2 linked regions of the Kluyveromyces lactis genome follow. The protein of the gene in region 1 interacts with the protein of each later gene in a biochemical or structural test. Links are inferred from orthologs where the notes say so. Each region holds a gene or a part of one and is shown on either strand. Other genes may lie near its edges. The genes, in order: RAD54 and MEK1.

Evidence for each region.
Region 2: of the proteins of RAD54 (region 1) and MEK1, one has a biochemical effect on the other in vitro, tested with the Saccharomyces cerevisiae proteins (2 studies listed by BioGRID). The link is inferred for Kluyveromyces lactis from reciprocal best matches to the Saccharomyces cerevisiae genes RAD54 and MEK1.

Annotation. Positions count from the first base shown.
Region 1 is NC_006037.1:271,313-275,585, reverse strand, and holds RAD54 (DNA-dependent ATPase RAD54), read left to right. Parts: upstream 1-1,382; coding exon 1,383-4,070; downstream 4,071-4,273. UniProt on the Saccharomyces cerevisiae protein: Plays an essential role in homologous recombination (HR) which is a major pathway for repairing DNA double-strand breaks (DSBs), single-stranded DNA (ssDNA) gaps, and stalled or collapsed replication forks.
Region 2 is NC_006042.1:2,197,968-2,201,636, reverse strand, and holds MEK1 (serine/threonine protein kinase MEK1), read left to right. Parts: upstream 1-1,570; coding exon 1,571-3,034; downstream 3,035-3,669. Other genes in the region: KLLA0_F23529g (uncharacterized protein), read right to left, coding at 1-691; KLLA0_F23485g (uncharacterized protein), read left to right, coding at 3,445-3,669. UniProt on the Saccharomyces cerevisiae protein: Probable protein kinase required for meiotic recombination.

The sequences.
Region 1 (4,273 bases):
TTGTCGCTAATTGCTCAATTCGTAAGTATTAGGTATAATGGCACATTCTACCCCTCTGTTTTCCCGAACCCAAAAAATTGCACCACACAGAAACCAAGTACCGGATTACTACGTAGTTGATTGTAGCTAACAAAAACTCCAACGGTGGGGCAAGATAAAGCTCTGTTCCATCTGGCCAAAAATTCGTAACCACAGTCGTCACTCTAACTAGAAACAAATCGGTTGGCACCAAAAACTGGTTCCCCGTTAGATTAGAATGGAAAAACTTTTTGAGAATCTTGCCTCCACTACAACGCTTTCTAGCTCTAAATCGGAGAAACTGTCTTTTTTTTTTTTTTCAAAAAGAACGAAAAATGAACATAATAGAGAAGTCCTTCCAGTTTTCTACGCCTGGCAATGTAAATACGAAGCTAAGGAGTTTGCTTGGAGTACCGAAATGGTACTCCCATCTGTTTTAACTCCCCCTTATGAGGAGAGAAACTTTAATGGAGATTCGATTAGCAGAAACATAAGAAGCTCCGACAATTTCCAGTTTTGAGACCCTAAGTAGTTAGAATATTATGTGAGCGTGTTTTTCTTTGATATCTATCAAGATTTCTTTTTTACTCCTCACCACCTCTCTATTTACATTGAAAGTTTTGCCGAAGGAATCCGAATCTGTCTCCAATAAAGGAACAAACCCCCTTTCCCCTCCTCTTTAAAAAAAAAAGTTTGTAAGTGATTTAACAACCGAGCACTATTATCAAAGATGTAATTGAGAGAATCGGAGGTACATGTCCGTTGGCTCCTAATAGTTGTCAAGAGTTGGCGTGTTGGGAAATTATCGCTACCCACATGGGGTTGTTGGAGACGTATGCGAGATTATACTAAGAACGCTGGAGGTTACCCTTTTCGGAGTTTTTGGGAGTTTAATGTGATTTTGTATCAGGTGACTGACTTCTTTTTCTTTTTTTTCGGAGTGGTCTGAATACAATGTCTTGCCTAGCAACAAAATGATATCGAAGGAAAACTGGGTGAGGGGCTCCGAAATTTGTGGAAGTGCGCTCGTTCCTTGAGGCTTGTCCATCATTAATGTGGTAGGGTAACTTCAATGGAATTTACGATTTCGGAGGTAATCTTTTGTTTTGGTTAACGTTCACGTGAATGTCAGGGTAATGCTTTCTTGTATTTTTCCTTTTCAGCAATGTTTACGTTTTTGATTTTTTGCCACCACGCGTTTTCGTGTTTGCCTCAACTGAAATCTCATCATCATCTTTATTTACAAAACATAAAATACATTACTAAAATGATTAACATGGTGAATGATTATAATGCCCTAGTCTTACTTTAATGTACACACTTAACACCAGGGGATATACCATCGTTTCATTTACCGAAAGACTATGGCACGCCGGAGGTTACCAGACAGACCGCCAAACGGGATCGGTGCTGGAGCTCGTCCAAATTTGAGACCAAGAAGGTTGGACACTAACCAAGCACTGGAAACGTTAACGAAACCTTTCAAAGTTCCGTTTAAAGTTAATAAAACCGACCATGCCAAACGATATGGAGTGAGATCTTCAAGAAGATCTCAAACGACTTATGCAAATATGGATTCTTCCTTAGATTCTGATTTGCACGTTAAAAGGAAAGATGCACTATCTTTATCCAGATTGAATGCAGAGCCATCAAGACTGGATACAATATATTCAACATTAAGACGGTCATTTACCGTACCGATCAAGGGGTACGTTCCAAGGCACAATATTCCGATGGCTTTGGGAACCAAGGCAAAAGTTGTTATACCACCAAGACCGTTGCATGATCCGACAGACGAGCTTGCCATCGTTCTTTATGATCCTACAGTGGACGGTGATATCCCTGAGCAGCATGAAGATTTGGAATCGTTTAGACAAAATGCAGTAGACACTAAGAAGTCTCAAAAGGGGAAGGATTCAGAGTCGCAAGACCAGAAAGCAAAGGAATCTTCGCCCAATTCTGCTCCATCAATTCATCACCCTAAAATGCTATCCAACGGTGTGAAGAATAAAACCCTAAAAGAGCTATTAGGATCTTCTGAAGATAATACATCAAAAAAGTTCCCCAACGTACCAGTTGTGATTGATCCCAAATTGGCTAAGATTTTAAGACCGCATCAAGTTGAGGGTGTTAGATTTTTGTATAGATGTGTTACTGGTTTAGTCATGAAAGACTTTTTGGATGCCAAAACAGTGTTGGACTCAAGCTCTCAATCAATGGAAAAAGCTGATACACAAGCTGATTCTAACATAACAGGTTCGAAATCACCGGTTGAAACTGATGTCTCGTCCCTTAAAGACGTTATTAAAATCAATGAAAATTCTAGAAACAGGGGAGCCTATGGGTGTATTATGGCAGATGAAATGGGATTGGGTAAGACATTACAATGCTTAGCGTTAATGTGGACCATGTTGAAACAAGGTCCGCAAGGTAGGAGATCAATTGATAAATGTATTATTGTGTGTCCATCATCTTTAGTCAACAATTGGGCAAATGAAATTGACAAATGGTTGGGACCAGGTTCTCTTTCTTCATTGGCTATTGACGGTAAAAAGTCCAGTCTAAATAATGGAAATGTGGCGGATTCAGTGAGTCATTGGGCTTCAGCTCAAGGTAGAAATATCGTCAAACCTGTCCTCATCATTTCTTATGACACTTTAAGGCGTAATGTCGAACAGTTAAAGAACTGTGAGGTTGGACTAATGTTAGCAGATGAGGGGCATCGTTTGAAGAATGCAGATTCCTTAACATTCACGGCATTGGATTCCATTAGGTGTCCGAGAAGAGTTATTCTATCGGGAACTCCGATTCAAAATGATTTATCGGAGTATTTTGCATTATTAAATTTCTCAAATCCCGGATTGTTGGGTTCCAGAAATGACTTTAGGAAAAACTTCGAATTACCGATTTTACAGAGTAGAGATTCATTGGCTACAGATGAAGAGGTCACTTTGGGTAAGGATAGGTTGAGACAACTTTCAAACATTGTCTCGAAGTTCATTATCAGGCGTACCAACAATATTTTGGCAAAATATCTACCTTGCAAATACGAGCATGTTATATTCATAAATTTAACACCATTTCAGCAATCTCTATATCAGCATTTCATTGAATCAAGAGCTGTTAAGAAGATCGTTAAAGGGGATAGTAACCAACCGTTGAAGGCAATCGGTTTGTTAAAAAAATTATGTAACCATCCAGACTTATTAGAGCTATCTGAAGACATTCCGGGTTCAGAAGAGTTAATACCCGACGATTATCAATCTTCTGTTGACTCCCGCACTTCAAGAAATAGAAGCGTTATTCAGACAGCTTTTTCCAGTAAGTTTTCGGTCTTGGCAAGATTTTTGTACAAAATTAAAACGGAGTCTAACGACAAGATTGTGTTGATTTCAAACTATACCCAGACGCTAGACTTGATTGAAAAAATGTGTTTTAGTAACCACTATGGCGTATTGAGATTGGATGGTACCATGAACATCAATAAAAGACAAAAGTTAGTGGACCGGTTCAATGATCCGGAGGGACAAGAGTTTATATTTTTGTTAAGTTCCAAGGCCGGTGGTTGCGGTATAAACTTGATTGGTGCCAACAGATTGATTTTATTAGATCCAGATTGGAACCCGGCTGCAGATCAACAAGCTTTGGCTAGAGTTTGGAGAGATGGGCAAAAGAAAGATTGTTTTATCTACAGATTCATTAGTACTGGTACCATTGAAGAGAAGATTTTCCAAAGACAATCGATGAAGATGAGTTTGAGTTCATGTGTTGTGGATGAAAAGGAGGATGTTGAACGATTGTTCAGTTCGGATAATTTGAAGCAATTGTTCAAACTTGATACAAAAACCATATGTGATACCCATGAGACATATAATTGTAAACGCTGTAAGAATGGAAAGCAAATTTTGAAAGCTCCGGTAATGCTATACGGTGACGCGACTTCGTGGAATCATTTGAATCACGATGCATTAGCAAAAACAAACGACCATCTCTTGAAAAATGAATTCAATCACAAAGACATCAGTTTTGCATTTCAATATATATCGCATTGATCTTTCATTTTTTTAAAGTACATTTTAATTTCACTACTATATAGACGCATTAATAAATTCGGTTTCTGGGCGGTTCGGAACAGATAACTCGGTTAATATGAAGAGGCAACTCAAGTTTTCGAGATCTTTGAGCCGATCCTAATTTATATAAATACAGTTTGAATATGGATTTCCATATTAAAGCTAATTTTATTACGAGTATG
Region 2 (3,669 bases), on another chromosome or scaffold:
CCTCAGTTGGTTCCCAAGCAGCCTTTACGGCTTCACAGATCTCAACAGCAAATTCTACAGGTGTATCACTGAAACATTCTGGAGAGAACTGGTAAGTCCATTGTGTAGCACTTTGCGAAGGATCATCCTTGGTCAATTTCCTAACTAACTTGGTGGCTTCCACAGCTTTAGCAATAGCTTCTTCTTGGGACATGTTGAACACAATGTCACGGAACATGTCGGAGGTGGCCAAATACGTATGGATGGTGGCTTTCTTAGCACCATGCAAAGCTTCAACTGTTCTTCTAATCAAATGTTCTCTCGATTGAACAAGACATTGAATGGAAACATCTTCTGGGGCGTTTTCAACAGCGTATCTTGTGAAGTCGAAATCTGTTTGCGACGCAGATGGGAATGAGACCTCAATTTCTTTGAAACCAATCTCAATCAACTTATGGAAATATTCCTTCTTCTGCTCGACAGACATAGGATCTGGTAAAGATTGATTCCCGTCTCTTAGATCGGTAGAAAGCCACCTAGGAGCCTTGGTGATGGTCTTCGAAGGCCATTGTCTATTTTCCAAGTTGATCTGTGGGTATGGTCTATATTTCGTCGATGGATCTTTTAGCATATTCTTGTACGCTAGTTTCACTGGAGGAATAGCTTTTTTCCCAGCCTGTGCTAAACGCACAACGGTGTTCCTGAATATCATACTCAATATGGGGTATGGTTGCCTGGTCGTATCACCTTTGGAACAGTAGCTTAATGTCTCCCCTAAATAGCTATCCTATGAATCAACTGCACAAACTCCGTGTCCTAAAATCTCACCAGACAAAGACTGTTCTGGTGCATATATATATATATAAGACATGGCTCATCACATCACGTCTTTTTGCCGAAATTTTTCACTCGATTCAGAATTTTTCAGTTTTTCAATATTTCAGCATCGCCAGAAAAAAGTATCGCCAGAACTTGACTGTGAGTAATTCCCATAATAGTTTTTCATGGCTTTTTCTTTTTCTTTCTTTACTGTTTTGCAGGGAAAAAAGCTTCTTCGAGGGCCGTGATGAATGGAGTACGTAGAGTTCGTGAGTACTTTTTCGAAATACAGAGGGGAAGTTCAGGCAAACATTGCTGACTGGAACGTTCCCAGTGACAATTAATGAAGGGTTATGAGAGGGTTAGAAGTTGTTAGCGAGCAACATGGTGGTGTTTGAGCGCCTGTGCTTGCATGTAGAGGATAGAGGTTGGAGAGGACGTTGAACGATATGGGAAGTGGGGTTACTTGCGGTATGTGTTTCTTTTGAATTGTGCTCAAGAGGATCTTAGAGTCACGTGGTGCATATTGTGATTATGTCATCGGATTGCAATTTTGTTTCACGTGGGCCATTCTTCTTTGCTTGCCGGGTAATGAATTGGTTGTTTGTTTTCTTAATATTCGCTTTTTTGTCGTTTCATTTTAGCCGCGCACATCTGGCATCTATATAAACATACAGCATGGCAGTCTCAGATCCTTAAGAGGAGCCTCATTAGCCACTTCTCCCTCTGTTGGAATAGTTCCCACTATATTGGATAGACGGAGGCTAAAAAAATGGACAAAGTTTTGGGAGTATTGGAAGTCGATTTGGAGAGCGAGCTGGACTCCTCGCCGCAGTTCATCGTAAATCATTTCCAAATTGAAATTAATAAGGTATTGAAACTTGGACGGAACACTGAGGAGTGTATTTACTCTGTTGAACATCCTTCTGTTTCGAACATTCACTGTGTGCTATGGGGCATCAGATTTGATCCCGAGAGCGTTCCACTTTGCTACATAAAGGATATGTCATTGAATGGGACGATGGTCAATGAGCAGGTCTTATCCAGAGACGTCCCATACTTGTTATCCAACCAAGACGTGATTCAATTACCAAACGGGGCAAAATTTAAGTTCTCTGCAGTGAAAAGCGAAACGATGTCACAGTTTATGACTGGGTTGAGAATTAAATCGGAATGGGATCGATGGAAAATTGTGCCGCGTATAGTGGGCTCAGGAACTTTTGGACATGTCTTGGTAGCAGAAAAAGTGGACCACAATATGAAAAGACAAGTTGCTAAAAAGACTGTTTCATATGCTGTAAAAGTTATCAACACTGCAAAGACTAGGATGGTGAAAGAAGCCACCATTCTTGAAAAATTGAATCATCCAAATATTATTCGTATTCATCAATCTTGTGTTGATGCCCTTGGCAATGTATACATTTTTCAGGATCTTATATCGGGAGGTGATCTCTTCTCTTATTTGGCAAAAGGCGATTGCTTAGTTCCGATTTCTGAAACAGAATCGTTGATAATCATATATCAGATTCTCTTAGCTTTGAAGTTCTTACATTCAAACGGCATCGTTCACAGGGATTTGAAGTTGGACAATATCCTCTTGCATACCCCAGAACCATGTACTAAGGTTGTTCTTGCAGATTTTGGTATTGCAAAAGAATTATCTCAAAATACAAAAGAAAGAATGCATACTGTGGTCGGTACTCCGGAATATTGTGCACCAGAAGTGGGATTCAAAGCCGATCGTAATATTTATCGATCGTTCAGTAGAACTGCTACCTTAGATCCAGACAACAACGGCTATGATTCCAAGTGCGATATTTGGTCCCTCGGCGTCATAACACACATCATGCTCACTGGGATTTCCCCTTTTTATGGTGATGGATCTGAAGCAAGCATCATCAAAAATGTTAGAACTGGAAAACTAAATTTTACTGCTAGACAATGGATTGCTATCACAGATAGTGCCAAGAGTTTTGTTAAGAAATGTCTACAAGTTTCTACTTTTAATAGATGTGATGTGGAAGAAGCTTTACATCAGGTTTGGGTGGAAAAACATACTAGTCAATTGGAAAGAATATACAAAAAGAAAGTTTTACAGTTAAGCTCTGATTGCATAAAAATTGATGAGAACATTGATACCTTTGCTGTTGTAAAACATAAACTACCGAAAAGTGTCAAACTTTCCCCCGAAAAAAACCCTAACAAACGATTGAAACTTTTTTCAAACAATATTTAATGTGACGCTGCTATTAAAAAGTTGGTCAGCTTTGAATCTGTTTGTTTATATATACATAAAGTGCCATTGGTGAAGATACTCTCTTTGTTACACGCTCTTTTCGTGTCATAGTGTTTTGTTTCTTGATTTATCCGTCCAATATTTTCTATGCTCATCGCTTTCATTTTTTTTTGTTTTTCTCTCATATATCAAATACAGTTGGCAATACAAAAAAAATTAACTTAAGACGACATCCAAAGAATTAAGGCACTTTCCAGTTATGCTTTTTGTATTGCACTGAGCCGCTCTTTGTTTCTTTTCACTGCCATCTTCACTAACATTCGACTTATTTTTTACACAATTGTAAGCCCTCAGCCAGCAAAACATTACTGTTTACCAAATTTGTTGTGTGAGGTTTGTGCATTTGCGTCATGAATAAGGTAAAATCAATAAGCAGTGCGATCTCTAAACAAAAAGTTGCTTCTTCTTCATACGATCAATCATATCTCTCTTTGTTAAGAGAAACCTTGGATGAAGAGTTATTGCGAGATCGTGGGTCCAGTAAGCTACTTAATGATTCCACAAGAGCTTTTTTGAACTCTACATGGTATAAAGACTCGGGAAAGAATGGCGGTGCTCGAAAGGACATACTATGG